7 linked regions of the Oryctolagus cuniculus genome follow. The protein of the gene in region 2 interacts with the protein of the main gene of each other region in a pairwise test. Links are inferred from orthologs where the notes say so. Each region holds a gene or a part of one and is shown on either strand. Other genes may lie near its edges.

Region 1 (3,756 bases), on a different chromosome or scaffold from region 2:
GCCATCAGAGTCATGGTCTAAATAACTCAAAAGAGCATAATCGTTCTCCCACTGCACCAATCTGCCATACTGTCCACAGCACAAGAAAAACAGAAAAAATGAAATGAATGATGAAAAAAAATTTGCATACAAGGTGAAGAAGTGAAAGGAAAGACTATACAAACAAAGATATAAATTGTAAAAGATTAAATAAAGTATCTAATATAAACAAATGGAAGGAGTAAGAAGGAAAAATATCCTACAAGTTATTCTTGTCTTTGGAATTATACTCCTGTGGACTTCATGACTTAAAAAGACAATATTTCTGCTCAAAATATCATAATGGTTTCACAATGTGCTGGCAAGCAAAATAATAAACAAACATATAATTTTTCACACCGTAGTTTCTAAGAGCACTGCTTAATATTTAGATAGCTGCTCAAAAACTCAGATACTGCATACCTCTTCCAGGCATTCCAGAGTGCAATGACCCTCGGACCGGAATTCTGGCATCCCTGGAGGAATGGTATGGAAGAGGCTCACCCAGAGGCCAGCCTCAATTACTCCAGCATCATATTCCCTTATATCCGTTGTATGAAATAACCGCAGTCCAGAATTATCTATTAAGCCTGTAATAAGAGTACATCATTAAATGTATTTGATTTTTTAAATTAAAACCCTTGTATTTAGTTGAAATTAATTTATTTTCTTTAAATCTCACAAGAGAAATGATAGAAGCAGAGATTAATGTAAGACAACAATTAGTTTCACATGAAAGACTTAAAATGAGTCACCACGTTGTCTGCCACTGTGGTGGACACACAGATCACATCCTGAGGGAAATTACTGAGATAAAAACTGATACATTTCACTATTATCTAATATGACAACAGAATGAAAATTATAGTCATCATGAGAATATAGAATAACTCAATAAAAGTGGCTTTTATAGTGTTTAGAGGTGAAGTTCAATGACATTTATTTTGAAGTGAAAACTTTTGGGTCTAGAAGCCACCTACTGATGGAGAACAATGCTAAGGATGAACTGTCTATAGTTTGTCACCAGTGTCTTATTCATTCAACAGTCATTCAATTAACAAATAATTATTAAGAATCTCTTACATGAACAGCACTGCATTAATCAATGTGGAGATGAAACATGAATAAGTCATGTTCTTGCTATGGCAAGGTTATGACAAGGTGAGAGATTACGAATCTCAAGTACTTCCAAGAATTTTGAACCATGTGCACCACACACCTCTGACTCTGTGACATTACCAATTATATGCTGTCATAGTGTCAGATATCCTGGCTTTGGGTCAACTAGCATTTATACAATTTTCTGTTAACTGATATGATTATTTTATCATTTCTTTTTCCCACTAGTCTGTTATTTCCGTGTGCATTGACATGGTGTTGCTTTTTCATTCATGTTATATAATCAAGAATAGACCTAGTTGGTGGTTAGTATTTGCACAATAATCATATGAATCAATGTAAAATAATAACTTTAAGTTGCTTATTTTGATAATTATATATAAAATCTAGCAATTTCTTAGTTTTGAAATTAAGTAGATTCAGACATCAAAAGTGCAATGCCTCTTTCTTTAACATATTGCACAGTGCCACTACATAAAGATTTATTAAATATGTTTGTGAGTTACAACAAAAAACTTAGTATATTTTATCATAACAAATGATGGCTTTTCCATATATGCAGTTAGAAAGAAAATATTTCACAAGCACCGTATATTTGGAACTAATTTATATCACAAATGAAAAATGTCTATTATTCTATTTCCTGGCAGGTAATATGTAAGCTTTTTTTTTTTTTCAGATTATAGCCATATGTGCCCATTTGCCTAGTTCAGTGTGTTTTAATGCTGACTGTCCCAGTATAATCATGAATAGTGCTTTTTTTCACATTACAAAGTACCCTAATTTGGATGATAAACATATAGGTCAATTTGTTGCAACCTGTTTGCAGTTTTGTTTCAACCCTTTTTTTAAAAGATTTATTTTATTTATTTGAAGGGCAGAGTTATAGAGACAGAGAGGAAGAGGTCTTCCATCCGCTGGTTCACTCGACAAGGGGCAGCAATGGCAAGGGTTGGGCTAGACTGAAGCCAGGGTTCAGGATTTTCATCTGGGTCTCTCACTTGGGTGTAGGGGCCCAAGGACTTGGGCCATGGTCTGCTGCTTTCCCAATCACATTAGTAGGGAGCTATATCAGAATTGGAGCAGCTGGGACATGAACCAGCACCCATGTGGGATGCTGGAATTGCAGACAGTGGGTTAATCCAACATACCACAACGGCAGCCCCTCAGTAAAGGTAAGAGCTACAAACTTTTTAAAAATTAATAAGTAAAATATACAAAGTGTTAAACTCACCTTTCTTATGAGTTGGATTGTCATAATGGACTTCTAGGAGCACATAATGTGGATCTAACGGAGTGCCAAGGGATAATCCCACGTGAGGTGGATAGGAAAAACCCTAAATATGGAAAATTCCATGAGACGATATACCATGTAAGTCCCTGACAGCTCTACTCCACTCAGAGGCCAAGGATTCTATAAGATACTTTGACCCTTTAGAACTCCATTATTCTAGTATTCAAACAGTATTTTTCACTTCGTGTTTCTATGTGGGTGCAAACTGTTGAAATCTTTACTTAATATATGCTAAACTCATCTTCTGTATATAAAGAGAATTGAAAATGAATCCTGATGTGAATGGAAGGGGGGAGGGAGGGAAAAAGGGGAGGGTTGCGGGTGGGAGGGAAGTTATGGGGTGGGGAAGCCATTGTAATCCATAAAGCTGTACTTTGGAAATTTATATTCATTAAATAAAAGTTAAAAAAAGAACTCCATTATTCTATATTTGATTAGATAAAATGATTTACAGGAAGAATCCTTTCCATGAAAACAGAAATACACCACCCTCATATCAAAAATAGTGTGTAGAGCTTTACTTATTAGAACTGTATTTGGGAGGGTGGGAACATGATCAGTTATTCCTGCTGCATCTCAGTGATCATTAGCCCCACCTCTCCACCAATGGCCCAGGCAAAAATCACGGTCTCGCAAGTGAGGAAGGCATCGGGCATGTTTGGGTGGTAACACTCATGACCGTAGTCCAGGACACTGTCATTGAAGCTGCTACTGCACTGATAGAGCAGGATGTGGTGGACCAGACTCTCGTGTCCTCTCTGTATCACTGGCTCCACCTGCACAGACACAAACAAGAAGGATGTGATGGGGAGAACCATGTTACAACATCCTACAACAAGTACAAAACTAGCATAACTGATCACCAGTTTATTGTCCAGACATCCTTCTCAATTATGCATTTCAGGTATAATTTGTGCTAGAGGTGATGATGATGATGATGATGATGATGAAGAAGATGATAATGATAAGGGCAACAACCAAGATAATTATTTACTCCAAGAATCAGAGGACTTTACTTGTCTGCTTATGTTTTGTTTTTAACTCACATTTGTTCTCTTTACCCATTCTGCTAAGCAACTATTTAAAAACTTGCTTACATTCTTCTAGGTTTTACCTTGCATTGATCCTCTTCCCTCCTATTTTTTCCCATGCACTAGAAGAAAGAATTCAGAACTATAGGTGCAAATATTGTTTCCTCTCCCACCTCAAAATCTTCTCTTTACCCATCCCTATTGGACATGATAGATGATGTCCCATTTATTTTTATATATACACCTGCTTAGCACAACTTAGGATTCAACCATGGTTATTTTATTTTGATGATT
Region 2 (4,523 bases):
ACTGCTTTGGCCCCTTCACCCACATGGCAGACCTGGAAGGAGTTCCCAGCTTGGGCTGGGCCAGACCATTGCAGCCATTTGGGGATTAAACCAGACAGAAGCTCACTCTCTCTCCCCACCTCTCTCTCTCTGTAACTCTGCCTTTCAAGCACATAAATTTTAAAAAGAAAAAAGTTCACCCTGTCTTGGAGAAGGCACTATGGCACAGAGGTGAAGCTGCCACTTGGCAGGCCCACATCCCGCATCAGACAGCCTGGGTACAGTCCCAGCTCTTCCAACCCAGTTTCCTGCTCGTGTGCCTGGGAGACAGCAGATGACGGCCCAAGTACTCGAGTTCCTGTACCCACATGGGAGACCAGGATGCAGTTTGTGAAAACGACTAGCCCAGCCCTGGCTGTTGTGGGCTCTGAGGCATGAACCAGTGAATGGAAGAGTTCTCTCTCTCTCTCTCTCTCTCTCCCCCCCCCTTTCCCTCTGTCGCTCTGCCTTTCAAATAGATAAATTTTAAAAACTCATCTATCAGAGAATCAAGACTTGTGCATTTCATTAATGTATGTAACCAATCTCAACTTTTTAAAAAGCTAGACTATCACTTTTCATCAAATTCACAAAGGATTATTTAAATCATGATATTGAATGATAAACAAGATGGTGAGACGCACTTTCATATCCTGCTGGTTGAAATTGGGATCCTTCAGAAATTTCTTAAAATATGAAAATATCCTGAAGAAGTAACTAAAGTGGTAAAGATTTATGTATGTGGATATTTTACCATTATTTTACAAAGCAAATAGCTGGGAACATCTAACAATACAGATTTTTAATGGCCATTAAAACATATGTAAAGCCACTAAAAATCAAGTTTTAAAAGAATTGTTAACGCCACAGTAAAATGTTCACAATACGATTACATGTTTTTAAAATTAAGATAAATTATCAAGCTTTGTAACAGTGTGAGTGCAAATACGTAAAAAAGAAAAAAGCATATGGATCGGATCTGGATTCCAGTTTCAGTTCCATTACTACCAAGGCGGTTTTAACAGTAACTCCACATTTGTAAGACGGCAGTGCCTACCACCTTGGCATGCCAGAAAGACCAAACACGTACAAAAGGGCCTCGACCACCTGACATTCTAGCAGCGTTGACGGTTACTCTGCCCTAGCCAGGATGCGCCCAGGTTCCATGTCCTAACCTCCATTTTCCAATTCAGCACACACGCCCACGATCTCAACACACACCTGGAGCACACACCAATGGGCACACTGCCTGGGAGTTCACGGAACAGCCTTCTCCCATCAGCAGGGCAGCCCACCCGTCCGAGGCACTGCTGGAGGGAACTTCCAGAGAAGAGGAGGATGAGATCCGGACCAAGTGGTAGACGGCGTCATTAACCCAGGTCCGCGTCAGGAAAGCGAGCAGTGCCCACACGGCCTCCTGCAGGCGGGTTCCGTCCAGCCGCTCCCCCTCGGAGCGCACCCCCGCTCCAGGGCGCAGCCAGTGAGCAAAGCCCCCACTGCTGGCCACGTGCCCCTGCCGTCCCGCGGGGCAGCGAGGGTCAGTGATGGCTGGAGGACTGGCGAAGGATGACCTGGAAGGCAGGCAGTGTTCCGTCGGCCCCTGCTCGGCCCTCAGACGCCCATCAGCCACCGCGCAGGGCACGCGGCTCTCTGACCAGCGCCCGAAACACATCCAAGTGGCTTTTCTATGTGAACTTTGACCTGTCAGGAACCTGTCAGGACGGCTCACACAGGAACCAAACACAAAGGCGTGCAGCACGCAGGTGCCCTGAGCGAGCTGCAAGCCGGCCAGCAAGGCGAGGCCCACACGCGCGGGCGCCCTGCGGGGGCCTCCCCACTGCTCTGTTCCCGCCAGCCCCGGGTGACAGAACCCGCCTCCACCGGGAGCGCCCCGCACCGCCCGCCCTCGCCCTGCTCCGCTCCACGAACACCCCAAGGAGACTCGACATGCCGAGGGGCTGCCTGCCTCCACACTCCACCCTCGCGGCTTCCACGAAGCGGGTCCCCCGGCCCCAGGACGGGGCATCACCTGCCTCGGGTCGCCCGCCTGCGAAGCCCCCCAACACAGCCCGCTCGGGATGCCTCCCGCAGGCCACGCGCAGCAGCGTACGCGGGAGCCCGCGGGGCACGCCGAGGCTCGGTTCTCCACACCCGCCCAGGGGTCACGTGGCTCGCAGGCGGCGGGGCTGCCACCGGGCACTGGAGCGAGCGCCCACCCCAACCGCCCAGCGCGTGGCTCAGACAACCGCTGGGCGCGCGCAGGGCTGCACGAGCGCCCCTCTCCCCGCAAAACGCGGGCCCCTGGAGGGCGAGCAGCACGTGCGCCCAGCCCGACGGACCCTCCCCAGCCAGTCTGGGACGAGGAAACCCGCCTGAGCCCGCCACAGGTCGCGGGCCCTCCCCGCCCAAGGAGCCAGCAGGTTCAGGGCCGAGGTAAGGACGGGGACCGAAGCCCCCGCTGCAGCGGGACCCACCGCGAGGTCGGGCAGCCAGGGGCGAAGGCCAAGGCGAGCGCGGGCCCCGCGGGCGGGCGGGGGTCCCGCCGCAGCCCCCTCCGCCTGCCGCAGAGCTGAGTCACCGCCAGCGCCCGGGCCGCCCGGGCCGGGGGCCGCAGGGTCGGGGCCCCAGGGTCCCAGGCCGCCCCCGGGCCCCCGCCCGCCGCGCCCCCCGCCTGCCGGCCGTTCCGCAGGCGGCGGCTCGGGCTCCGGCGGCTTCGCTGGCTGCCCAGCCCGGGGGCTCCGGGGCGCCGCGGCGACCCCGGCCCGTTCCCCGAGGCCGAGGCGAGCGCCCTCCGCGCGGCCCTCTCTGCCCGCACTCACTCCCCACCGCCGCCCGCCGCCCCGCTTACTTGGCTTTGAGGCGCAGCAGCTCCTCAAACTGCCGGGCGGAGCCGACCTCCACCACTGCCGCCGCCGCCTCAGCCGCCTCAGCCGCCCCCGCCGCCATGCTGCCGCCGCCAGACAGGAGCAGTCGACAGCGGGCGGCTCGATCGGGGCGGGGCCGCGGCGCTCACGGCGGCTGCGCGCACGAAAGCCCCGCCCCCGGCCCGCCCCGCGGCTGAGGATCCTGGGAAACGGGAGGCGGCGCCCGCGGCGGGCCCTGGGCGGGCTCGGGGCGCTGGGCTCTGGCCGCCCCGGCTGCTGGGCCTCGGGGTTCCTGGCCCCGGGACTCCGCACTGTGGGGCTCCTGGCCGTCAGGGCTGCGGACTGTGGGGTCTCTGTGGCTCCCGGTTCAGGGCCGCTGGCCCTCGGAGCTCTCAACTGTGGGGTCCCTGGCCGTCGGGGCTGCGGACTGTGGGGTCCCTGGCCCTCGGGGCTGCGGACTGTGGGGTCCCTGGCCCTCGGGGCTGCGGACTGTGGGGTCCCTGGGCCTCGGGGGTCCCCCACGGAACCTCCCCCAGCTAGCTCTGGGTCCACGGGGTGCCCCGTGCTTGCTCCACCGTGGCTGCTGCTTCCTGTGCCTGTCTCCTAGGCTGCTGTCAGGGTGGGCAGGAGGGCATCTCCAGGTGCCTGGACGAGAACCAGGAACTGAACTGCCCCTCAGTGGCCGGTGGCTGGCTGGGACCTGCACTGGCCGGATTTCAAAGATGTCTTCCAAAAAAATTAATCTATACACGGATTGCATGTTGAATTGTTTTGGATACATTTCTTTTTGTGAAATTTTTAAAGGTTTTTTTTTTACTTGAAGGGCAGAGTGACACAGAGAGAGAGAGAGAGCGCTTCTTTCCATTGGTTTAGTACCCAAATGGCTGCAAAAGCCAGGGCGGGGCCGGCCAGGCCGGGGTGTCCTGCCTGAGCGGCACCCTTCAGGCCACCGTCTTCTGCTTCTGAAGAAGCTGGATCCACAGTCCGACTGGGATGGGGGCGTCCCGAGGCTGGTCTGACCTCTGCGCCACGACGGCTGACCCACACCGCCTTCCGTTCCCCAGCCCTAGTGATGAGAAGCAGCCTTGGGGCCGGCGCCTGCAGTGCCGCCATCCCATATGGACGCCAGTTCAAGACCAGGCTACTAGGCTGCTCCACTTCCGATCCAGCTCTCTGCTGTGGCCTGGGAAAGCAGTGAAAGATGACCCTAGTCCTTGGGCCCCTGCACCCGCATGGGAGACCTGGAAGAAGCTCCTGGCTCCTGGCTTTGGCCTGGCCCAGCTCCAGCCATTGTGGCCATTTGGGGAGAACCAGCAGATGGAAGATTCTTTCTCTCTCTCTCTCTCTCTCTCTCTGCAACTCTGCCTTTCAAATAAAATAAAAAATCTTTTTATTAAAAAAATTTTCTGTCAGTCCCTCTCCATCAGTAACTCTTTCAAATAAATAAATCTAAAAATAAATAAAAGTAATCCTTTAAAAAGTGCAGTAGGAGGGTGAGAACTATTTTGTACCTTGGTTGTGGGGTAGATGCATGAACCTAAACATGACTGAATAGAGCTAAGTATGCGCTCCCTCTCTTCTCTCTGACACACACACACACACACACACACACGTACAAGCAAACCAGGAAATCTGGAAAAG
Region 3 (4,508 bases), on a different chromosome or scaffold from region 2:
CTCCGTGAGTTAATTTTATTTATGGTGTGGGATAGAGGTCCAAACTAATTTTTCTGCATGTGAATGCCATCCAATTGTCCCAGCACCATTTTTTGAAAAGATAATTCTTTCCCCCATTGAACTGTCTTTATACCTTGTTGAAAATCATTTGATCATAACTATATGGATTTATTTATGGACTATTGATTCTATTCCATTGATCTATATGCTTGTGCTTATTACGCCAATATCACACCATCTAAATCACTATAATCTTGTGATGAGTTTTAAACCAGGCAAATATAAATTCTCCAACTGTGTTCCACTTTTTCAGTAATGTTTTGAATATTTTGGGTCCTCTACAATTGCATATGCATTTTAGGATCAACTTGTTAACTTCTGGGGACTGAAAGGGTTACTGGGATTTCTTTGTATCTTGTGTGTTTCTTCTTAGTGAGTTTAAAGATTTTATTTATTTATTTGAGAGGTAGAGTTACAGACAGTGAGAGGGAGAGACAGAGAGAAAGGTCTTCCATCTGCTGGTTCACTCCCCAAATGACCACGATGGCTAGAGCTGGGCAGATCCAAAGACAGGAGCCAGGAGCTGCTTCCAGTTCTCCCACATGGATGCAGGGGCCCGAGAGCTTGGGCCATCCTCCACTGCTCACCAGGACATAGCAGAGAGGTGAATCAGAAGAGGAGCTGTCGCAACTAGAACCGGTGCCCATATGGGATGCCAGCGCCTCAGGTGGAAGATTAATCTACTGCACCACAGCACCAGCCCCATAAGTGAGTTTAAACAATGCTTTAAAAAGTTACAAAAAATGTTACCTTCTGCAAAAAAGGAATGTTGAGAGGGATTACAATGAATGCATAGATTTATTTGGGGGACCTGGGATCATTTTACAAAAGGAAACCTCTCTAGTTCATAATCCCAAGTATATCTGGAACCCTTATCTTTTTATACCCCGTGAACCCAACAGAAACTACTTAGGCATTAGTTACTTCTTGAGGTTAAGGTATTATATTCTACTTTTTAACATCTGTTTGATAACTTCCTATTTATAAAGTAGTTTATAAATATGAAGTATGGTAATACAAGCCAATTCTTGTCTTAATCATTGGGTGTCTAGCAACCTCTAAGAAAACCAATATAACTAGTTCCACATGATGTCAATAAAAAGTGTAATAACCTTTAAGCTTAAGTTTTGATGCTATCACTAAAGTGATCTTTTAAGAACTCTGGAGAAATTAGATTGACAATCTGCTGTCACTTGCACAGCCCAAGATTGTCAGGTACGATTACCTGTCACAAACTATTAACACAGAATGTTTGCCAAGCAATTTTTGCTATGTAATCTATCATCATGTACTAGACCGTGTATCACTTGAATCCTTTCCATTTTGGTTTAGGGTTGTATTTGAATTAGTTCCTACCTATAGAGGGCAGTCATAACACACTTAGGCATTCACAATAAGCGGCTCTACCTGGAATAGAACACTAAGGGCCACTGACCCACAGAACAGATAATCCTTGGGCTTTGATCCATGTGACTTTCCAGGGAGGCTCCAGGCAGACTCTGAGAGGACCCAGCACAAGCCAGATGAAGAGAAGCAGAGAAGGTCCTGAGCAAAAACCAGGCAGCAGGATTCACGTGAGGCCTCTGTCGTAAGAACATGCCAAGGCTTACCCAAGACAACCAAGAGTGCCTCCAGAAGCCCTTCCCCAGGCCAACTATATGGACACAATTTCAGCCCTTGTTTAGGACTGAGCGATATAATGCCAATATTCACCAAACCACAGAAAATGAAGGGGTCCTGCAAGCTCTGCCTGACGTCCAGGTAAGACAATCCCCACCATCTCCAACACTTTCTTGACAAGGGGGAGGGTAAATCCACAGAAAGTATAAAACCACAAGTCAGCTCTAGCGTTGTCACTCACTTTATCTCACTGAAGATTTATCTAAAACGTTTTCCAACAAACTCTAAGGAAAAAGTCGAGCTTGTGTGGTAATGACTGACTTGTACAGTTTCTCCAGCCTCAACTGTTTCCCTCAGCAAAACAAATGCTGATTTATTTCTTGCTTGCTTATTTTAGGAGATGATGTTTTAAGAAGCAGAAAATAGGAATATACATTTTGTGGCTGTTGATATTACTCCTCAGATTTTTTCTCCAATATAATAGCCCATAGAGTAAAGAAAGAAAAGTGATAGGCTGCTTCCTAAGAAAATCACTAGAGAAAAAAAATTCATCAACAAATGCAAGAATGTAGGAAGAAACTTACAGAGCTAAGAATTAGTGTTCTATATTCATAGTTTCCTAAGGTGAACTTCCTTAAATATAACAGTTCTAAAAATTCATGGAAATAGTATTAAAAGATGAGTTTATTTTGGTGTAAAAATGTTTGAAATCCATGCATATGAGAAAAAGTTCATGACAAATATGCATTATGAAAAAAATCAATGAATTACAAAAAATGCTCATACCAAAGTGAATTTATCTTTGATTCTATTTTCTATGAATTTTTTGAAGTGCTCATATTTAAATTTCTACCATGAAGTTATTTTATTTTCCAAAAATAATGACAGATCTCCTGTGTGGTATCCTTGCAGAAAGTCCATTGTAAGTCTGTAAATCCTCTTAACTATTAATAGAACAGTCTCTTAAAAGGTTATTTGGTGTGGAGGGAGTGAATACATGTTAATGTCTCACAAATAGCAAGCTGAAATCAGAACTAAATGCTGCAAGATCACACTACAGCACACCTGTCCAAATACTTGAACTCTAAAAGAGTCATCTGTCTCTGTGTTATGCTTATATCCTGATAATAACAACCATTATTTATCTGCAGACTCTGTTGCATTCTCTGTTTATAGCTGCCCTTTCCCCTGAAGTTACTTCAGCCAATCAGAACAAACAGAAGAAAAATTTAAAAAGTCATTAGGAGATATTTTCTGTAGAAATGTAATGACTTTGCATTTGAATTTTCAGACATATAACACATGAATTTTCATACACCCCTATCATCACCTAGACACTAGGTCTTTAGGAAACTATAATAAAATGGATGTACTGGCCAGGAATCTTTCATTAATGGGTATCTAAAAGTAGGCAACTCATCAGGGGACTCAAAATCCTATTTAGTTGGGTGGCACTCATCCCATCTTATGTGATAAAGTGATCATATTAAGTATGGTATTCATCATATACATAGGACCATAAGTCAAAGGGATCATATAAATAAGTCCAAGTGCCTGGTAATAACCATAGATAGAATTACAAAGGAGAGAAAATTCCAACATTGGAAGCTTTCCACACAGCAGACTCATAGAATGACAAACACCCTAAGCAGCTCTCTGACCTCAGAATCAGCTCCTAAGGCCTGATTAAAAACACCATGAGAGCATTTCAGGCATGGAAAGCCAAGACATAGTGGCAAAAATCAGTTCTGCATGAAGGATCTTTGTGAGTGAGACCCCAGGGGAAAGAAGGGACCATCAAAGAATGAGGTACTTTTCTCTGAAGGGAGGAGAGAACTTCCACTTTGCACATGGCCCTGTGCAAACGGTGCCGTGGCTCACTAGGTTAATCCTCTGCCTGCAGCGCCGGCATCCAAATGGCCACTACAGCCGGCGCACTGCGCTGATCCGAAGGCAGGAGCCAGGTGCCTCTTCTTGGTCTCCCATGCGGGTCCAGGTGCCCAAGCACTTGGGCCATCCTCCACTGCCCTCCTGGGCCACAGCAGAGAGCTGTACTGGAAGAGGAGCAACCAGGACTAGAACCAGCGCCCATATGGGATGCCGGTGCCACAGGCGGAGGATCAACCAAGTGTGCAGCCATTTGGGGGGTGAACAAATGGAAGGAAGACCTTTCTCTCTATCTCTCTGTCTCACTAATTCTGTCAAATGAAAAAAGAAAAGAAAAGAAAAGAAAAGAAAAGAAAAGAAAAGAAAAGAAAAAGAAAAACGACAGAGTTTGTGAACTCAAAAGGCTTCCATAGCCTTGGCAGCTCATGTCAAGAGCCTCGAGTAATTACTGACTTCATAAATAAGAGTGTCAGTTGTTAAATAGACAACAGGAGTCACTGTGCACTTGCTCCCCATGGTGGACCTCTGTCCTTAATGAGTTATACTATGAGAATTAATGGTAACACTTGTCTTCAAACTGTACTTTATACTTTGTGTGTCTGTGTGTGTGAAAAGAGTTGAAATCTCTCCTTAGTAAAGAGTTGGTCTTCTGTATATAAAGTCAATTAAAAACAAATCTTAATGGAAAATAGAACGGGAGAGGGAGTGGAAGGTGGGATGGGAGTGCAGGTGGGAAGGCAAGGATGGGGGAAAGAAACATTATAATCTCTGAAAGCTGTACATATGAAAATTTGCATTCATTAAATAAAAACCTTCAAAAAAAGATTCTTGCCAAAATAAATAAATAAATAAATAAATAAATAGACAACTCATGCAGAAGATATTTCTGAAAGGTAGAATTTGGAGGCTTCTCTAAGGAAAGAGCATAACATAGATCTTGC
Region 4 (4,274 bases), on a different chromosome or scaffold from region 2:
TGACAGCAGCTGCTCATAGGCGCTGTTTTCTTCCGGGCCCTCCTGCGGATGACAGACAGTGCAAAACAGACTGATACACGCATCTGGGCCCTGGCTGGAGGCCTGGACGTGGGAGGGCTCCCCACAGCCTCCCTCCCTTTCCTCAGCACTGAGAATGGTAGGGAAACAGACAGCTTCATTATTACCCAAAGTCGTAATACTCTTGCTTTGCAAACTAGCAAGCTCGGCAGACCAGTTTTCAATGGCAAACTGGAGGAGAAGGGGAAGGAGGGGCCACCCGTCCTGGAGACAAGGCCTCGGTGACCTGGGCCCTATTCACTTTGGTCACCACCTCCGCACACTCCATGGTCCCCCACAGAAACCCATCGTACAGATTCGCATTCCTGCTACCTCTGCAGCCACACTCACGATTCTCGCATGGACGCCTGCACTGGGGGGTCCTGCCCTGCTGATGCCGATGCCGCACTTCTCTGAACCTTGGTCTCTCAGGTCGGCCTGAGCAGGCAGACCGTGCGCGAGCCTCACAGGTGTCTCTCCACTCTTCACTTTACTCAGCCTGCTCCAGTCTTTCCGCTTGTGTGATCATTTAAGAGGTCACAGTACTGCATCCCACCAAGGGCAACCATAGGCCATTGGAGCGTTAGCACTGTCCGTCTCCCTGACTCGTGCTCCTGTGCTCCTGTCATGCCCCAAGTGGGCCATCAGCTGGGGCGTGGCAGCACTGCTCCCTGTACTGGGCATTTCCTTTTCTTTCAAGTTTCACCTCCTCTCTGGCCGCCCTTTTTACCCTGTATTCTCTCTATGTCTAAAATGTCAGCCTCTGGCACTGGCTGTGGGCTTCCCGAGGGAGGAGGGACAGCCAGGGACCAGGCTGAGCGCGCTGGACCGGCTAGGGAGCCCGGGAGCTGCGGAAGCAGCGGGTGGGAGGGTGACCAGGTGCTGCCGTACCTGCAGAAAGGCAGCCAGTACTGCCAGCCCCCCCGGGCGCCCCAAGGCCTGGCCGATCTCGGCGAACGCAGTGCTGAGATGGACCACGTGGATCTGGGGAGGACGCGAGGGTCAGACTAGTGCAGAGCTCCAACTCCGCTCCGCCCTTTGCTCCTCCTCTGCTGCTCCCGGCTCACCTCGGCAGGGAAACGGTGCCCGTTGACGGTGTGCTCAGAGCCCGGGCGGTCCGCAGACCCCCAGTGCAGGTGCAGCTGCAGCGCCCGGTACTCCCGCCCGGGACCCAGGGCCATCTGCAGCCCGGGGGGCAGAGTCAGCTGCACTGAGAAGGGGGAGGCGGGGTGATCCCACTCTGCCTCACCCGCCGGCGAGGGCCAGCCCCACCCCCAAACACCGCCCCCCCAGGCTCCGCCCCGTCCCCTGATGGTCCCTCCGACTTGGCTGGGGTTCCGCGCGAGACCCCCTCACCGGTGTGGCCATTGTTGCGCAGGCGCAGCTCTGGGAGCCGCGGGAGCTCGAAGCCCAGGAGTTCCAGGGGGCGCAGGGCCGGGCAGAAAGCGGTGAGCTCCGGGCGGATATTTACCGGGGACTGAAAACGGCCGGCGCAGGCGGGCGACACCTGGGGCCAGGGCGGGTCTCCTGGGGTGAGAGAGGATGGTGAGGCTGTCTGGCCATTGGGTCGGGGACTCTGAGGGAGCCCGGGTGTAACGGAGAGGGGATGGGATCGGGAGCTAGAACTCGGCGGCGTGGGCGGGACAGGCGGCGGGCGGAGGGTGGCCGCCCAGGACCCGCGCGAGGCCGGGGTGGCGGCGGGGCGCATCAGTGGAGCTGGGTCCCCGGGCGGCGTGCGGGGGTGCGCGTCTCACCTCCATAACGCCAGTGGCTGTGGTCGTCCCCTGTGTAAATGAGAAGGGGTAACAGGCCGACGTGAATGCCCAGTGCTGCCCAGCAGCGGGAGCATGGTGGGTCGCAGTCCTCAGACGCCCCGCGCGGGCACCGCAGGTAACAAATGCCTGGTGTCAATCACAGGGCGCTGCGACCAAACACCCCCGCAGGCCCCAGAGAGGCCGGTTGGAGCCCTTGCTTTGGGGTCTGCAAAGGGACGGGCGGCGGCTCGGTCCCCGGGCCCGAATCCGTGGGCCAACTTTCCTTTCTCCCTCCCTCACCCATGCCCCCACACCACCCCCACTCATCCCTCTGCTCTTTCTGGTCTCCCACTCCTTTCCTAAAGTTCCTGGTGTGGAAAGCAGAATTCCAGATTCCTCTACCTGCTGTTTCCTGGCTAGACAGATGACCTCTGCAGTTCTCCTCCTCTCCCTCGGATACCCACTGTCCGGCCCCATCTTTCCCCCTCTCTTCCCCTGTACTCTGCTCTCCTTCCCTCCTCCTCCCCCGATGCATACTTCCTTTGCATGCTCAGTTCTTTCTCCCCAGCCTCCCCCTGTCTTTCCCATCACTTCTCTCCATCCGTGCCTCCCTCTCCCCATCAGCCAGGCAGCGAGGGGGCTTGTGGGGCAGGAGCTCTGGGGGCTGGAACGGCGGCTGTTAGAGAGCAGGCTCTGCCCCTTCTCTGAAGAACCACGGCCTGGACCAGGCTCTGGGCAGGGAGGCATGAACCTAGGGGAGCCTAGATCGGGAGGTGGACGACAGCTTACCTTTCTTGCCCTTGTGGGCGTTGTTCGGGGGGCCGTGAGTGTGCACCGGAGCTTCCGTGGTCAGTAGGTCCTCTAACTTCAGGGAGTCCTCTTCTCCTGGCTTAGTCTCAGCCTCAGGGGAATCCTCCTCCCCAGGTGGATCCTCCTCACTGGGCAGATCTTCCTCGCCTACTGGATCACCTTCCCCTGATGAACCTCCTCCTGTAGCCGATTCCCCCTGCACCTGGGGCAGGCTCTGGGGATGGGCGGGCACCAGGAGCAGCAGCAGCAGCAGATGTGCGGTGGGGCCCCGGGCAGGGGCTGGGGTCAGCAGAGGGAGCCAGGGGCCCGAGCACAGGGGAGCCATGCGGCTGACTGCAGGGTGTCCCGGGACACGGTGTGTACGGGCTGTACGTGCATTGGAAACAGGAGCCGGTGGGGGAGGAGCGAGCTTGGAGGGGAGCAGGCTGACTCACAGAATGCCCTTTTGTAGAGAGCGAGCCAAAGTCCCGCGGGTCTATCTGGCCTCGCGCCCCCCTCCCCGATACCAGAGGCTGGGTAGGGGTGGAGTGAGGGGCAGGTGTGTGCGTAGGGAAGGTTATCGAAGTCACAGGCTTGGCTTGGAAGCCAAGGCACCACCTGGCACTGTCCATGCTCTCCCTGGCACTACCCGGCTGCTTGCCAGCCAGCTTCAGTTAACCCTGGCTTGCTTCCCAGCCCCAGGCAAGGAAGGGGAAAGATGGAGGAGCTGGGGTCCCTAAGACCCCTGGCTAAGAAGGCAGGCAGCCCTCGTATACACCTCTGGCCTAGGTAGGGAACAGGCAAAGGGGTAGGGCGGGCTGCTGGGTAGGCCTAGAGGTGAGTCAGTGGAGGGCTGGCTGGGAGGCAAACCTGGGCATGAATGGGAAACTCCGAGTATGGGTGAGAGGGACTCTGATGAGTTTAAACTAGATGTATTTTTTAAACTTTTCATCCTATTACTCCCCTGCTCGAAAACCTGTGTCAGCTCCCCAACGGGCTACCAGAGTTATGCCCACCTTCTTCTGACGTCCAAGTCCCTTAAAACCTTACCCAAGGGACCTTTCCATCTTATCTCTGGCTACTCTCCCTCATGCCTCCGCCAAGTTAAACTATTCGTTCTTCCTCCAAATCTTTTACCACCTTGGTTAATCTAATTCTTAACAATTGACGCCAGCCACTCTTGCATTCAACAAATATTTAGCACCTACCTTATGTCAGACCCTGGGCCATATCCTAGGGATATGGAAATGAGTCAGACATCACAGCGCCTGCCCGCAAGAGCTCACAGCCTCGTGCGGGGGAGACGGAGACTTTCATCATGTAATATTTAGCGGGAAGGCAGGAATTCTGCTTCGAAGGTGGTACAGAAGTGGGTAAAGTTTGATCAGGGCATTGAAGGAGAAGAAGTAGCAGGCTGGTTTGTAAAAACAATAGGACAGCGGTATTCTGGGCAGAGGGGAGGAATGAAATATTTTGAGCATGAGGATGATGGAATCCAATTCTTATATTAGGGCATGTTGGCGGCGAGTGAGCTTGCAGTGGAGGGAGGGCTGGGCACAAGGAGACAGCGTAGAAGAGAGGATCTCCAGCTCTCGAATGGGCGAGGGGCTCCCGGTCTGCCTGTTTAAGCAACTTCAGAGTCTCCTCCCGCGCTCCAGGGACTGCTCTGGGATC
Region 5 (4,343 bases), on a different chromosome or scaffold from region 2:
GTTTCATAAACACTATGACAGAGACGTTCTTTTACAGAGTAGGAGATACTTTGTTCCAAATTACTCTTAGAACCAGGGAGCAGACAAATAATCGGAGGGAAACAGTGGCTTTTATGAAATTAAATGTTTTCTTTTTTTTTTTTTTTTTTTTTTTTTTTTTATTTTTGACAGGCAGAGTGGACAGTGAGAGAGAGAGACAGAGAGAAAGGTCTTCCTTTGCCGTTCGTTCACCCTCCAATGGCCGCCGCGGTAGGCGCGCTGCGGCCGGCGCACCGCGCTGATCCGATGGCAGGAGCCAGGAGCCAGGTGCTTTTCCTGGTCTCCCATGGGGTGCAGGGCCCAAGCACCTGGGCCATCCTCCACTGCACTCCCTGGCCACAGCAGAGGGCTGGCCTGGAAGAGGGGCAACCGGGACAGAATCCGGCGCCCCGACCGGGACTAGAACCCGGTGTGCCGGCGCCGCTAGGCGGAGGATTAGCCTAGTGAGCCGCGGCGCCGGCCCGAAATTAAATGTTTTCTAATGATATTGCCAAATGGGAATCTGTGTTTGCCTTCCTGCAGCCGCAGCACAAACACCGCACCCATCCTGAGATCCACAAAGCTACCTTGAAGAAAACTCCAGGGAGCCCAACCTTGCCATTACCACTCCGTTTGGATTTCAGTTGCTGGAGCAAATATCTATTCCGCCTTCACAAACAGGTCATTTGGTGGGTTTTTGTTTTGGTCCAAGGTGGTGTTTTAAGACTTTACATTAATCTAGATTTGGGGATTTTCTAAACCTAATTATTTCAGAATATAAGTGTCTTTTTGTTTGAAAAAGTGTGTGTTTGTAAAATCTCTTGAAATTTTCTGTGCCTCACAGATGTTCAAAGCTAAAATAATAATTCACCAAGTAAGAAGATCATTGTCTGTTTCTTGACCAAAATTAGATGGAAGTTTTCAAACGCTTTTTCATTTTGCTCAATCTGCTGTCTTCATTGAATATGCCTGAACAATCACTGTTAGTTATTTTTTAATTTATTTATTTGAAAAGAGAAGAGAGAGGGAGAGATGGAGAGAGGGTGAGGGAGGGAGAGAGGGAGACAGGAACTCTTCCATCCACTGGTTCATTTCCTAAACGCCCTCAACAGCCAAAGTCAGGAGCCAGGAACTCCATCCGGGTCTCCCACATGGGTGGCAAGAGCCCCAAGTGCCTGGGCCATCCTCCGCTGCCTCCCAAATGCATTAGCAAGAACTTGGATCCGCAGCGGAGTTAGCTAGGGCTCGAACCAGGCACTCAATGGGGGACGCCAGCGTCTCCAGTGGCGGCTTAACCTGCCGCACCCCAGTGCCCACGCCTGGACGGCGCCTACTGAACTACAGAAACAGGAAGAACCCTCTGGCTATGCACATATAAGCACCAATACGCTAAATGCTGAAAATATAAAGAAGTATGCTACACCTACACTCTTGTGTGTTCCTGGCCGTCACATCTTCATCACGTGATTCCATTAAGAATGTACAAAGGGAACAGGTATGTGAACACGATAAAAAATTGATGAGACCAAGTGTTCAAAAAGACCAAAGCACTTAGCAAGCACTGCCTGGAGTGATTCTAGATAGCGACCACAGATTTCCAAAGCTCACATGTAGTCCAGGGAGGTGAGGCACCGAAGATAAAGACAGCTTTCAGAAATGCTAAAAGCTGCACTTGAGTGTAAACCGTAAGGAAATGCACTGATTTCTGAACCTTGTGAGAATGACCCTCAACATTAACCACACTTACAGGGGGTAATTTGGTGAGCAGAAGACTACAGAGGAAGAGCTCATGGTGTACATTAAATATTGAAGCGGCCATCACAGCGGAGTGCAGGAGCTGATCAGGTGTGGCAGGCAGGTTTTCTGTCACCTGGACAGGAAAGGCTCACCTCCCACAGCCCAGAACAGAGAGAGCCCACTGCTGCTTCTGGACAGTGAATCCCAGGGGGACAAGAACTTCCAGACAGAGAGCAAGCTCCCATCTGCTGGTTCACTCCCAAACGCCTGCAACAGCCAGGGCTAGGCCAGGGCCATGGTCAGGAGCTGGAAACCCCACACAGGTCTTCCACTTGGAAGGTGGCAACCTAGTGACTTGAGCCAGCCCTGCTGCTCCCAGGTCTGCGTCTGTGGGAAGCACGCATTTTACATTAAGCAGTGCACAGTCTGAGACGCCCACAGCAAAGATGAGACATCACCCGGAGGGAAAGTGAAAGAAAACATCACAGCGGCCAACCCGTGGGACCCGGCTGCCCAGGGAGGAGGGGAGGGCGGGCGGACAGGAGAGGCCCGGGCTCAGCTGCTGCACTCACAGGTAGCCCAGCCCCTAGCAGCCATGACATCACAAACCTGAGAGTAAAGTGCAACCCAACTCCCGGGAGGAGACTACAGCAAGCCACTGTCCAAGGTCTGCCAGCGGGTCCAGTGGTCAGACGCCAGTGAGCTCAGCAAGGCAGAGACTTGGAATGGAGCCGGGCAGTAAACGGGATCGGAAACACAAGGAGGTGGCTCCTCACCAGCGTCCCCTGCCACCAGGCAGGAGGAGCAGCGGTCTCAGGTGTCCACAGGGAGAGCCTGCCCTCCCACCACAGGGATCCCAAAGTGACCCTGGCCTCCCAGCGGAGACCACTCACGTGTCTGCCCTCGCCTGCAGAAGAGGGTGGGAGGTCCAGCACGAGAGGCCGAGGAACGCAGCAGGTGCAGCCGGGGTCACCGGTGGGTTTGCTGGCGGCAGTGGGCATGACGTGGTACACACACTGCCGGCTGCGTCAAACCTGCCTTCGCCCCAAGGAACTGCAAGGATCCCTCACCTCTGTGCCTCTAATCACCTGGGCCCAGCCCAAAACCATCCTCGCAGGATTTCCGGCTGGGCCTGCTGGAGAAATGAGGCCTGGGCAGCCCAGGCACCACGGCCCCGCTTGCCCCTGGCAGCCCATCAAGAAAGGTCCGTTTATTTTGTAATCAATCCCCGCCCCCGGCCCCCAGTGACCACGCCGCTGGCCCCCTGGGCGGCGCCCTGGGCGGGATGGGGGGAGCTGACCGCAGTGCGGCCTGGCTCCGAGGGCTACTTGGGCCTTCGCGTGCTGCGCACTTCTGGCTCAAGACCGGCCCTTCTTCCGGACCCCCTCATCTGGCTCCGTTTGGGGGTGCTGGCACAAGCCTCGGGGGACAAGGGGTGGCTGGGGGCGACCGCGAAGGGTGTGGATATGCTGGCCCCAGGCGCCCCGCACGCGGGAGGGTCGGCCACGTGGCTTTGAGGCGTGGACACGGGCCCCAGGATGTCAGGGAACCCTTGGGGCTGACCTGTCGGGACTGCGGAGCGGAGAATGCGGGGGCCTGCATTGCGGGGCCCTGACACCGGCCCCGGCCCCGGCCCCGGCTCGCCCGGTTCTTCTGCCGGGAGTGGGGCTGCGGGATAGGACTCGTCCCGGGCGCTGACGGCTAGCGGGGAGCCGGCCCTCCATTTCCCTCGCTGCAGGCAGACGTCCCTCGCTCTTCCCCGCCGCCCTGGGTCTCGGGGGCCGCTCCTGGAGCAGTCCGCAAGCCCTTAGGCGCCTCTCGGGGCCGGTTGTCCACGTAGAGCCGAAGCCAGCTGCGCGACCCGGGTTCCGAAGGTTCTCGCCGGGCTGCAGGTGCGTGGCTGGAACCCGGTCCTCCCGCAGCAGCCGCACTGAGCGACCGGCCCAGCCAGAAGCGAGGCTGCACTCCCCCGGCGCGGCCCGACGGCCAGCGGCCCCGGGACCCCGGGGAGGTCGCCCACTTGGAGTCACGGCGCGTGGGCCGCCCCGGGCCGGCGCCGGGTCCGCCTCCCTGTCTTCGCGCGCAGGGCTCTCGGAGCTGCGCGCCCGCCACGCCCCGCCGGCCCCACGCGCGCCCGAAGGCTCCGGGGCGCGTTTCCGAGCCGCGAGCGAGCGAGAGAAGGGGCTGCCCCGCGCCCGCCGCGCTCCCGCGCTCACCTTGCCCTTGGCCAGCAGGTCCATGATGTAGCCGAAGTCACCCCCGTCCCCGGACTCGGACATGGTCATGGCGCCGCGCGAGCTCGGGACAGCCGGGCCCGGGGCCTCGAACGGCTCTTCGTCCCGCTGCTTCCTCCGCTCCTAGTCCGAGTTCCGCCGACCGCCCCTGCACCGGCCGCAACCGGGGGCGAGGCGCAGGGCAGTGCGGGGCCGCGCCAGGGCCATGGGGGCCGGGGGCGCGGCGGGAGCGCGACCTCACGGGACCCGCGCGGCCCCGCCTCCACCTGGGGGTCCCCGGCGCCGCCGCGACCGACGGGCGCGCACAAAGCGGCGGGCTCCGGGCGAGGCGCGGGCCCGGCCCGGCATCCAGCG
Region 6 (3,165 bases), on a different chromosome or scaffold from region 2:
GATCTGAAGCCAGGAGCCAGGAGCTTCTTCTGGGTGTCCCATGTGGGTGCAGGGCCCAAGCACTTGGGCCATTCTCCACTGCTTTCCCAGGCCACAGCAGAGAGCTGGATCAGAAGTGGAGTAGCCAGGACTCGAGAAGGTGCCCATATGGGATGTCAGCACCGCAGGTGGAGGCTTAGCCCACTTGCCACAATGCCGGCCCCCAATCCTTCACTATTTTTTAAATGCCTGTTTTATGTTGGATGTATTATACATAGAGCAGCAGTGGGGAATGTCCAGCCCGCAGGTTGTACTTGAAGGCCCACGACATCAGCTGGGCAGGCCCCGCCCAGACAGCTGCAGGTGGGATCCGAGATCCAGTGCATCTAGAGCCGGCTAGTTTTCAGGTGGACTTTTTTAAGATCTATTTATTTATTTATTTGAAAAAGTTACACAGAGAGAAGGAGAGGCAGAGAAAGAGAGAGAGAGGTCTTCCATCTGCAGGTTCACTCCCTGGATAGCCGCAATGGGTGGAGCTGTGCTGATCTGAAACCAGGAGCTTCTTCCCGGTCTCGTGTGGGTGTCGGGGCCCAAGCACTTGGGCCATCTTCTGCTGCATTCCCAGGCCATAGCTCAAAGCTCGGTCAGAAGTAGAGTATCCGGGACTTGAACTGGCATCCGTATGAGATGCTGGCACTGCAGGCGGTGGCTTTACCCACTACACCACAGCGCTGGCCCCAGGTTGATGATTTTGTATGGCCTGTGAATTATGTTATAAATATACAAATGGCTGTCAGCAGAAAAAAGGTCCCCACCCTGGCATGGGCCAGGAGTTGAACAGGTACCTTTTAAAGAACCACACACTGAATCCCCGTGTGCCGCCCACCCAGGTTCAGAAGCCTAAGCATCGCTGAGCCTCAGAAGTCGCAGGAACCCGGGAGGGGCCTGGTTTCCTGAGTTCGAGTTCTTCATCCCTGGGTTTGTTGGTAGTTTCCCCGCCCCGGGTGTGAACCCGCAGACAACATGGCCTTCAGTTAGGAAGAACCCGAGCCGGCGCTGTTCCGTACGTTCGCCCTGTAGGTGCAGGCGTGCTTCGTCAGCAGTTTGTGTCAGTGTGTGCCTGCCGGTGCTCGAGGTCAGGGACCCAGTGAGCGTCCAGGAAGCGCTGTGCTCTTCTGTTCTTCAGCAGCGTTAGATCTGCCTCCCGCACGGCGACAAGGACAGCGACAGCCCACGGGCGCAGGCCCTCCTGCTCCGCTTTGCCCTTAGCGTCTCCCCGTCTCCCCGCTGTCAGCCTTGTCTGCCCGTCCCCCGCCCCCGCGGCTGAGTTAGGACACCCAGGTGTGAATGGGAGATGGCGGCGCATCTTGGCGCCGTTCAGGCTTTCGCGTCTGGGCAGCGGTGAATCCCATTCTCCTGCGACCGCTGTCCCCACAGCACCTGCGGCCTTGCGGAAGAACTGGAGAAGGAGAAGTCGGTGCAGCAGAAGAGCTCCCAGCCCAAGTCGGCCTGCGGGAACGTGAGTCAGCCTTCCCCAGCCCAGGCGTGGGCCCGCCTCCCAGGCGCTCGCTGCCGCTGCCCGCTGCCCTCACACTGGGCGAGCGTGTGAGGATGCACGTGCGGCGGGGATGCGTGAGGGCGCGCTCGGGCCTGTGCGGGAGGAGCCCTTTTCCCTGCCTCCCGGTGGGTCCTGAGGTGATTCGGCCGCTGGAGAGCTTAGCTGCGCTCTGAGGCTCTCAGACTGAGGCCACGCGGCCTCGTAAGGACCGCGCCCTGCCTAGCGCTGCCCTGAACCCAAAGACATGTCCCGTCCCCGCTCCCCCGGCCGCCTATGCAGTCGGGAGTATCCTCCTTGCGGCCGTGTCTCCGGGCTGCCCTGACCTCGGCTTCCCTGCGGGCTCTCTCTCCTGTCTCCAGTGCTACCTGGGCGATGCCTTCCGCTGTGCCAGCTGCCCCTACCTCGGGATGCCAGCCTTCAAGCCCGGGGAGAAAGTGCTCCTGAGCGCCAGCAACCTTCACGACGCCTAGGGGCCCTCCGGCCGACTCCGCCCCTCCAAGGCCGCCCCGGCTGTGCTCCACTCTGTTTGCAATCCGTTTGCCAGAAGGTGCTTAGCAGACAGGGCTGCTGGCTGTGGGCGCAGTGGTGCGCAGTGCTGCTATGGATCCAAAGACCAAGGACTGTGGGGCCTGCTGAACCCACGCGGGGGCCTGTTTCCCCCAGTGTGAGGAGAAACAGAAGCCCCTCTCTGGCTGCTAACACGCTGACCAGAGCCCCTGAATCTACAGCCTGTGGGGAGGTCCGGGCTGCTGCCCCGCACACCTCAGGGCCTGGCGGCCTCGGGCTGGTGTCTCTTGTCTTCAGGGCACCACAGGAGCCATCGCTCACTGGTTGCTGTGACCCCGTCCCGTCCAGCGTCCCTCTGTCCCTTCCCACCATCCCATTTGACTGTAGTGTTGGATCTGTGTCCTGTTTCATTTCTGTTAACCTACAGGTATTAAACCCGCAGACTTCTACAATCATTTGTAGAGAGGGGTGTGTGTGTGTGTGTGTGTGTGTGTGTGTGTGTGTGTGTGTTATCTGCTGTGGGAGAGCCTCTGTGGCTTGGGGCGTGCGGAGAAGCAGGGCTGGGCAGGGCTGGGCGGCGAGGCCCAGCGCTGTGCTGTGCAGCCCTGTGGTCCCCTTGCTGCCCACCCGCACAGACTGGGACTCCAGCTGGCCAAATATTCGGAGAGATGATGTGCTTTTTTTTTGTTTTTAAAGATTTATTTATTTGAAGGCAGAGTTAGAAGGAGAGAAACAGAGAGAGTTTCCATCCACTGGTCCACTCCAAGATGGCTGAAATGGCCAGGGCTGGGCCAGGAGCCAGGAGCTTCCTCCAGGTCTCCCATGTGGGTGGCAGGGGCCCAAACACTTGGGCCATCCTCCGCCACTTTCCCCGGCCATAGAGACAGATCGGAAGTAGAGCATCCGGGACATGAACAGGCGCCCGTACGGGATGCCGGTGTTGCACACGGTCAGCTTCACCCGCTACGCCCTAGATTGTGTGCCTTCGAGAGCCCTGGAGTCGGTGATACAAGTGGTATCTGCCTTGGGAAGGTTGACTTGGTCCTCGGGTAGCTTTGCTCTCCCCGGTGCCTGCCAGTGGCGCTCAGTCAGGGGGGTGGCTGAGTTCTGGTTTCACTGGG
Region 7 (3,596 bases), on a different chromosome or scaffold from region 2:
ATCAGAAGGACTCTGAGATCTCACATGCTAGCCAGGTAAGCCAGCTTCCTCCCAGCTGCAGAGACCCCCAAGGAGCCTTGGCCAGCGTAGGGGCAACAGCTGGGGCCTGAGCACAGCTCCTGCTCTAGTTGCTCTGCCCCTCAACAAACAGTTTCAGACTGGATCTGGCAAGGCTGTGTGCTGTGATGGAGGTGGACAGGGAAGGGGTTGGGGTGGAGAGGCAAAGGTGGCCATGGATCTAGGCTGGGTTCCTTGGAGGACTCTTAGTATCAGGAGGTGGCTGGAGGTTGGCAGCCCAGAGTGCTGATACGGTTCTTGCAGAAGCACATAGCGTCAGCTGGAGCCCAGCCTGGCTTCTTGGTGTCTGTCCTCAGAGCTGGAGTGTTCAGCTTCCCCAGAATTGGCATACCCCAAAACCTTGCTTGCCTTGATTTCTTCTCCGAGGCTTTCTCCTCCTATCAGCAACCCCAGTAATGCCCCTTTGTGTGTTCCCAGGTTGAAAAGGGCCCCCGGCCTCAGGCTTCCCAACCCTGTTCCTGCCCCCACATTATCCGATTGTTGTCACAAGAGGAAGGGGTCTTTGCTCAAGATCTAGAGCCTGCACCCATTGAAGATGGTATTGTCTATCCAGAGCCGAGTGACGGCCCCACCATGGATACCAGGCAAGGGTCCTGTCCTGGCCAGAACTCGTGGACCTGCAGCTCCAGTCTTCCCTTCCCTCTGAATGTTTTTTAATTTGGGGCGGGGGGGCTGGCCTCCAAGATGCTCAGGGCTTGGCTACCACCTCACTGCTGTCTCATCCGTAGCGCTGCTCACAGGCCAGAGTCCAGTGGTGCTACTGCTCACTGCCTTTTCTTCCCCACTGACCCCCTGGCAGTGAGTTCCAGGTGCAGGCTCCAGCCCGAGGAACCCTGGGAAGAGTTTACTCAGGCAGCAGGGGCTCTGAGAAGCACAGCCCTGACAGCGCCTGCTCGGTGGATTACAGCAGCAGCCGCCTTTCCAGCCCCGAGCACCCCAATGAAGGTGAGGCTGCAGCCTCATGGGAGCGACCAGTGGTGGGGGCAGGGGTAGAGCGGTGGAGACCCTGGCAACAAGCAGGTGCAGCATGATGCCTCTCCCCATCCCCACATCCAGACTCCGAGAGCACAGAGCCCCTGAGTGTGGATGGCATCTCCTCAGACCTTGAAGAGCCAGCTGAGGGTGACGAAGAAGAGGAGGAAGAGGAGGGAGGCACTGGCCCCTACGGGCTGCAGGAAGGCAGCCCCCATACCCCGGACCAGGAGCAATTTCTGAAACAGCACTTTGAGACTCTGGCCAATGGGGCTGCTCCAGGTGTGGTCAGAGGGCCAGCATTCGGTGCCTGCAGCCTCTTTTTCTCCCTCCTTGCCTAGCTGAGAGGGAGGGCCCAAGGCAGGCAATGCCTTGGGGTTTCCTTCTGGGGAGGCAGAATCTAGGGCAGGGGCTTGGCTCTTGCCTTCATTGATGATTCCTACAACCCTGACAGGGGGCCCAGTTCGGGTGCCGGAGAGGACAGAGTCTCGGAGCATCTCGTCCCGATTCCTGTTGCAAGTGCAGACTCCCCCACTCAGGTACAGAGACCTGGCCCCACAGCAGCTGCCGCTGTCCTGACCCCCCCAGTGCCCCTGCCTCCGGGGCAGCAGGCAGCCCTCCTCCCTTCAAGGTTCAGGTGTTTTCCACCCCTGGTCCTGGGAAACTGGCCTTGCCCCAACCCTGTTCGCTTTGTGCATGTTCTCTCCTGGTGTCTCCCTGGTGCTGAGAGAGCTGCTCACCGTCTTGGCAGGGAGAAACACAGAGCCTTCCCCGGGTCTTCTTGCATATTCCCTCCCTGTAGGGAACCGTCGTCCTCCTCAAGTCTGCCACTGATGTCGAGACCAGTCCAGATGGCACAGGCGTCTAGTGAGCAGCTGAGAGGCAGTGCTGCCAACCCCCCTGGAGCACCTCCGGAGATGGAGCCCTCCCCTGGCAACCCTCGCCCTGAGCAGGCAGGCCCTGTGCTGTTGCCACGACGCCGTTACAACCCCGACAGCAGCCGGGCCCCCAAGAGAGTAGCTGCAGCCGGCTCCTTACCTGGACTGCAGAAAGCCCAGTCTGTGCAGAGTTTGGTGCCGCAGGGTGAAGAGCCAGGTGGGCTCAGCTTCAGGGTGTGGGCATTGTTGGCTGCATGGACGTGATGGAGGAGGGAGGGGCTGTGGTGGCCCTGATGTGGCCCTGGGTGTTGCCTAATGGACATGTACAGGGGAGGAGTGGCTCCCAGAGCTTGAACCTAAGTACCTGGATGCCTCCCTCACTGCCTGACCTGCACATACCCCTGTTTCTTCTGCAGATGAGGCCCAAAGTGGCCTGGGCTTGCTGCCCCAGGCTGATGGCCATCCATCTCAGCCCTACTCCTACCAGAACTCTACCACCAGTTCCATGGCCAAGATATCCCGCAGTGTCTCTGTTGGGGAAAACTTGGGCATGGTGGCCGAACCTCAAGCCCCTGCCCCCAGCCGAGTCTCACCACTCAGCAAGCTGGCCCTGCCAAGCCGGGCTCACCTGGTCCTGAACATCCCCAAACCGCGGCCGGACCGTCCTACCCTGGCTGCATTCTCACCTGTATCCAAGGGCCGGGCCCCTGCTGAGACAGAGCAGCCTGACTCCTCAGCTGGCGTAGGAAAGGCTCCCAGTGCATCTGAGAGGCGGGCCTGTTTGGGGGAGGGTGCTACTCCCAAGCCCAGGACAGAGTGCCAGGCTCGTTCTGGGCCCAGCAGCCCCCGTGCCCAGCAGCTGCCGGTCAGCATTCTCCTCCGAGGCCCTGAGAACTTGCAGCCCCCAACCTCTGAGAAGACTCCCAACCCCATGGAATGCACCAGACCAGGGGCAGCCCTGAGCCAGGACTCAGGTGTGCACAGCTCCCCAGTTCTCATTCTTGCCTCATCCTTTCTCTCCATCACTGTTGGCTTCTCTCTGGCTCCATCCCATTTCTGTGTGTCCAGCCTCTGGTGTTTTTCGTCCTGTCTGCTCCTGTCTCGGTCATGAGTCACACCCCTGATGGTGAGACAAGTCCTGCCCACCTTCATGATCTCCCTGCGTCCCACTCAGCCTTCAGTGCCTTCTGGGGCTGGGTAGGCCCTCCTTTCTGGACCTTGCTGTCTCAGTGGTGTTGGGGAGGGCACTAGAAGGGAAGGAGGCAGGAGGGAGGGACCGAGGCCAGTGGGGGGTGGCGCGAGGGCAGCTTGCTGGGCCTCCCTGAGCTCCAGCCGTCTCTCTCAGAACACACGGTGAGCCTGCAGGAGTGTGAGCGGCTTGTGGCAGAGCTCCGTGCCAGTGTGCGCCAGGCTGTGCGGCTCTACCACTCGGTGAGTGTTGGGCACCCGCTGGTGGGAACTCAGAGCGGGTCAGCAGTGCTAGGTCGCCGGGTGTCCAGAGCATCTGGACGAAGGCTGCTCCAGCGTTAACGTGGAGAAGGGGAGAAGAGCGTGTTAAAGGTTGGGCCAGGCCTCTTGAGCCAGGCACCTGGGAGTCATTGCTGGGTAAAACCTGGTGACTTCCCTAGGACAGGAAGGTGGGACATAGGGACTGCAGGCCTGGTTTGC

What was found.
Region 1: the proteins of GLRX3 (region 2) and MOXD1 interact in binary tests that used the Homo sapiens proteins (3 or more experiments, as listed by UniProt). The link is inferred for Oryctolagus cuniculus from reciprocal best matches to the Homo sapiens genes GLRX3 and MOXD1.
Region 3: the proteins of GLRX3 (region 2) and RGS20 interact in binary tests that used the Homo sapiens proteins (3 or more experiments, as listed by UniProt). The link is inferred for Oryctolagus cuniculus from reciprocal best matches to the Homo sapiens genes GLRX3 and RGS20.
Region 4: the proteins of GLRX3 (region 2) and CA9 interact in binary tests that used the Homo sapiens proteins (3 or more experiments, as listed by UniProt). The two-hybrid records come from large-scale screens. The link is inferred for Oryctolagus cuniculus from reciprocal best matches to the Homo sapiens genes GLRX3 and CA9.
Region 5: the proteins of GLRX3 (region 2) and TRIM36 interact in binary tests that used the Homo sapiens proteins (3 or more experiments, as listed by UniProt). The two-hybrid records come from large-scale screens. The link is inferred for Oryctolagus cuniculus from reciprocal best matches to the Homo sapiens genes GLRX3 and TRIM36.
Region 6: the proteins of GLRX3 (region 2) and CIAPIN1 interact in binary tests that used the Homo sapiens proteins (3 or more experiments, as listed by UniProt). The link is inferred for Oryctolagus cuniculus from reciprocal best matches to the Homo sapiens genes GLRX3 and CIAPIN1.
Region 7: the proteins of GLRX3 (region 2) and MAPKBP1 interact in binary tests that used the Homo sapiens proteins (3 or more experiments, as listed by UniProt). The two-hybrid records come from large-scale screens. The link is inferred for Oryctolagus cuniculus from reciprocal best matches to the Homo sapiens genes GLRX3 and MAPKBP1.

The regions. Positions count from the first base shown.
Region 1 is NC_091436.1:36,737,387-36,741,142, reverse strand, and holds part of MOXD1 (DBH-like monooxygenase protein 1), read right to left. Parts: intron 3,208-3,756; coding exon 3,028-3,207; intron 2,475-3,027; coding exon 2,372-2,474; intron 609-2,371; coding exon 442-608; intron 1-441.
Region 2 is NC_091446.1:2,052,991-2,057,513, forward strand, and holds the start of GLRX3 (glutaredoxin-3), read right to left. Parts: upstream 3,051-4,523; 5' UTR 2,965-3,050; coding exon 2,867-2,964; intron 1-2,866. UniProt on the Homo sapiens protein: Together with BOLA2, acts as a cytosolic iron-sulfur (Fe-S) cluster assembly factor that facilitates [2Fe-2S] cluster insertion into a subset of cytosolic proteins.
Region 3 is NC_091437.1:78,680,380-78,684,887, forward strand, and holds the start of RGS20 (regulator of G-protein signaling 20), read left to right. Parts: upstream 1-1,543; 5' UTR 1,544-1,656; coding exon 1,657-1,821; intron 1,822-4,508. UniProt on the Homo sapiens protein: Inhibits signal transduction by increasing the GTPase activity of G protein alpha subunits thereby driving them into their inactive GDP-bound form.
Region 4 is NC_091432.1:198,588,505-198,592,778, reverse strand, and holds the start of CA9 (carbonic anhydrase 9), read right to left. Parts: upstream 3,019-4,274; 5' UTR 2,947-3,018; coding exon 2,601-2,946; intron 1,842-2,600; coding exon 1,812-1,841; intron 1,585-1,811; coding exon 1,414-1,584; intron 1,268-1,413; coding exon 1,125-1,267; intron 1,042-1,124; coding exon 949-1,041; intron 43-948; coding exon 1-42. UniProt on the Homo sapiens protein: Catalyzes the interconversion between carbon dioxide and water and the dissociated ions of carbonic acid (i.e. bicarbonate and hydrogen ions).
Region 5 is NC_091437.1:5,489,099-5,493,441, forward strand, and holds the start of TRIM36 (E3 ubiquitin-protein ligase TRIM36), read right to left. Parts: upstream 2,960-4,343; 5' UTR 2,952-2,959; coding exon 2,826-2,951; intron 2,798-2,825; exon of another isoform or gene 2,757-2,797; coding exon of another isoform or gene 2,649-2,756; intron 1-2,648. UniProt on the Homo sapiens protein: E3 ubiquitin-protein ligase which mediates ubiquitination and subsequent proteasomal degradation of target proteins. Involved in chromosome segregation and cell cycle regulation. May play a role in the acrosome reaction and fertilization.
Region 6 is NC_091449.1:40,983,093-40,986,257, reverse strand, and holds the end of CIAPIN1 (anamorsin), read left to right. Parts: intron 1-1,416; coding exon 1,417-1,498; intron 1,499-1,896; coding exon 1,897-2,007; 3' UTR 2,008-2,499; downstream 2,500-3,165. UniProt on the Homo sapiens protein: Component of the cytosolic iron-sulfur (Fe-S) protein assembly (CIA) machinery required for the maturation of extramitochondrial Fe-S proteins.
Region 7 is NC_091443.1:64,896,619-64,900,214, forward strand, and holds part of MAPKBP1 (mitogen-activated protein kinase-binding protein 1), read left to right. Parts: coding exon 1-35; intron 36-495; coding exon 496-662; intron 663-877; coding exon 878-1,023; intron 1,024-1,134; coding exon 1,135-1,332; intron 1,333-1,504; coding exon 1,505-1,589; intron 1,590-1,852; coding exon 1,853-2,145; intron 2,146-2,344; coding exon 2,345-2,902; intron 2,903-3,273; coding exon 3,274-3,359; intron 3,360-3,596. UniProt on the Homo sapiens protein: Negative regulator of NOD2 function. It down-regulates NOD2-induced processes such as activation of NF-kappa-B signaling, IL8 secretion and antibacterial response. Involved in JNK signaling pathway.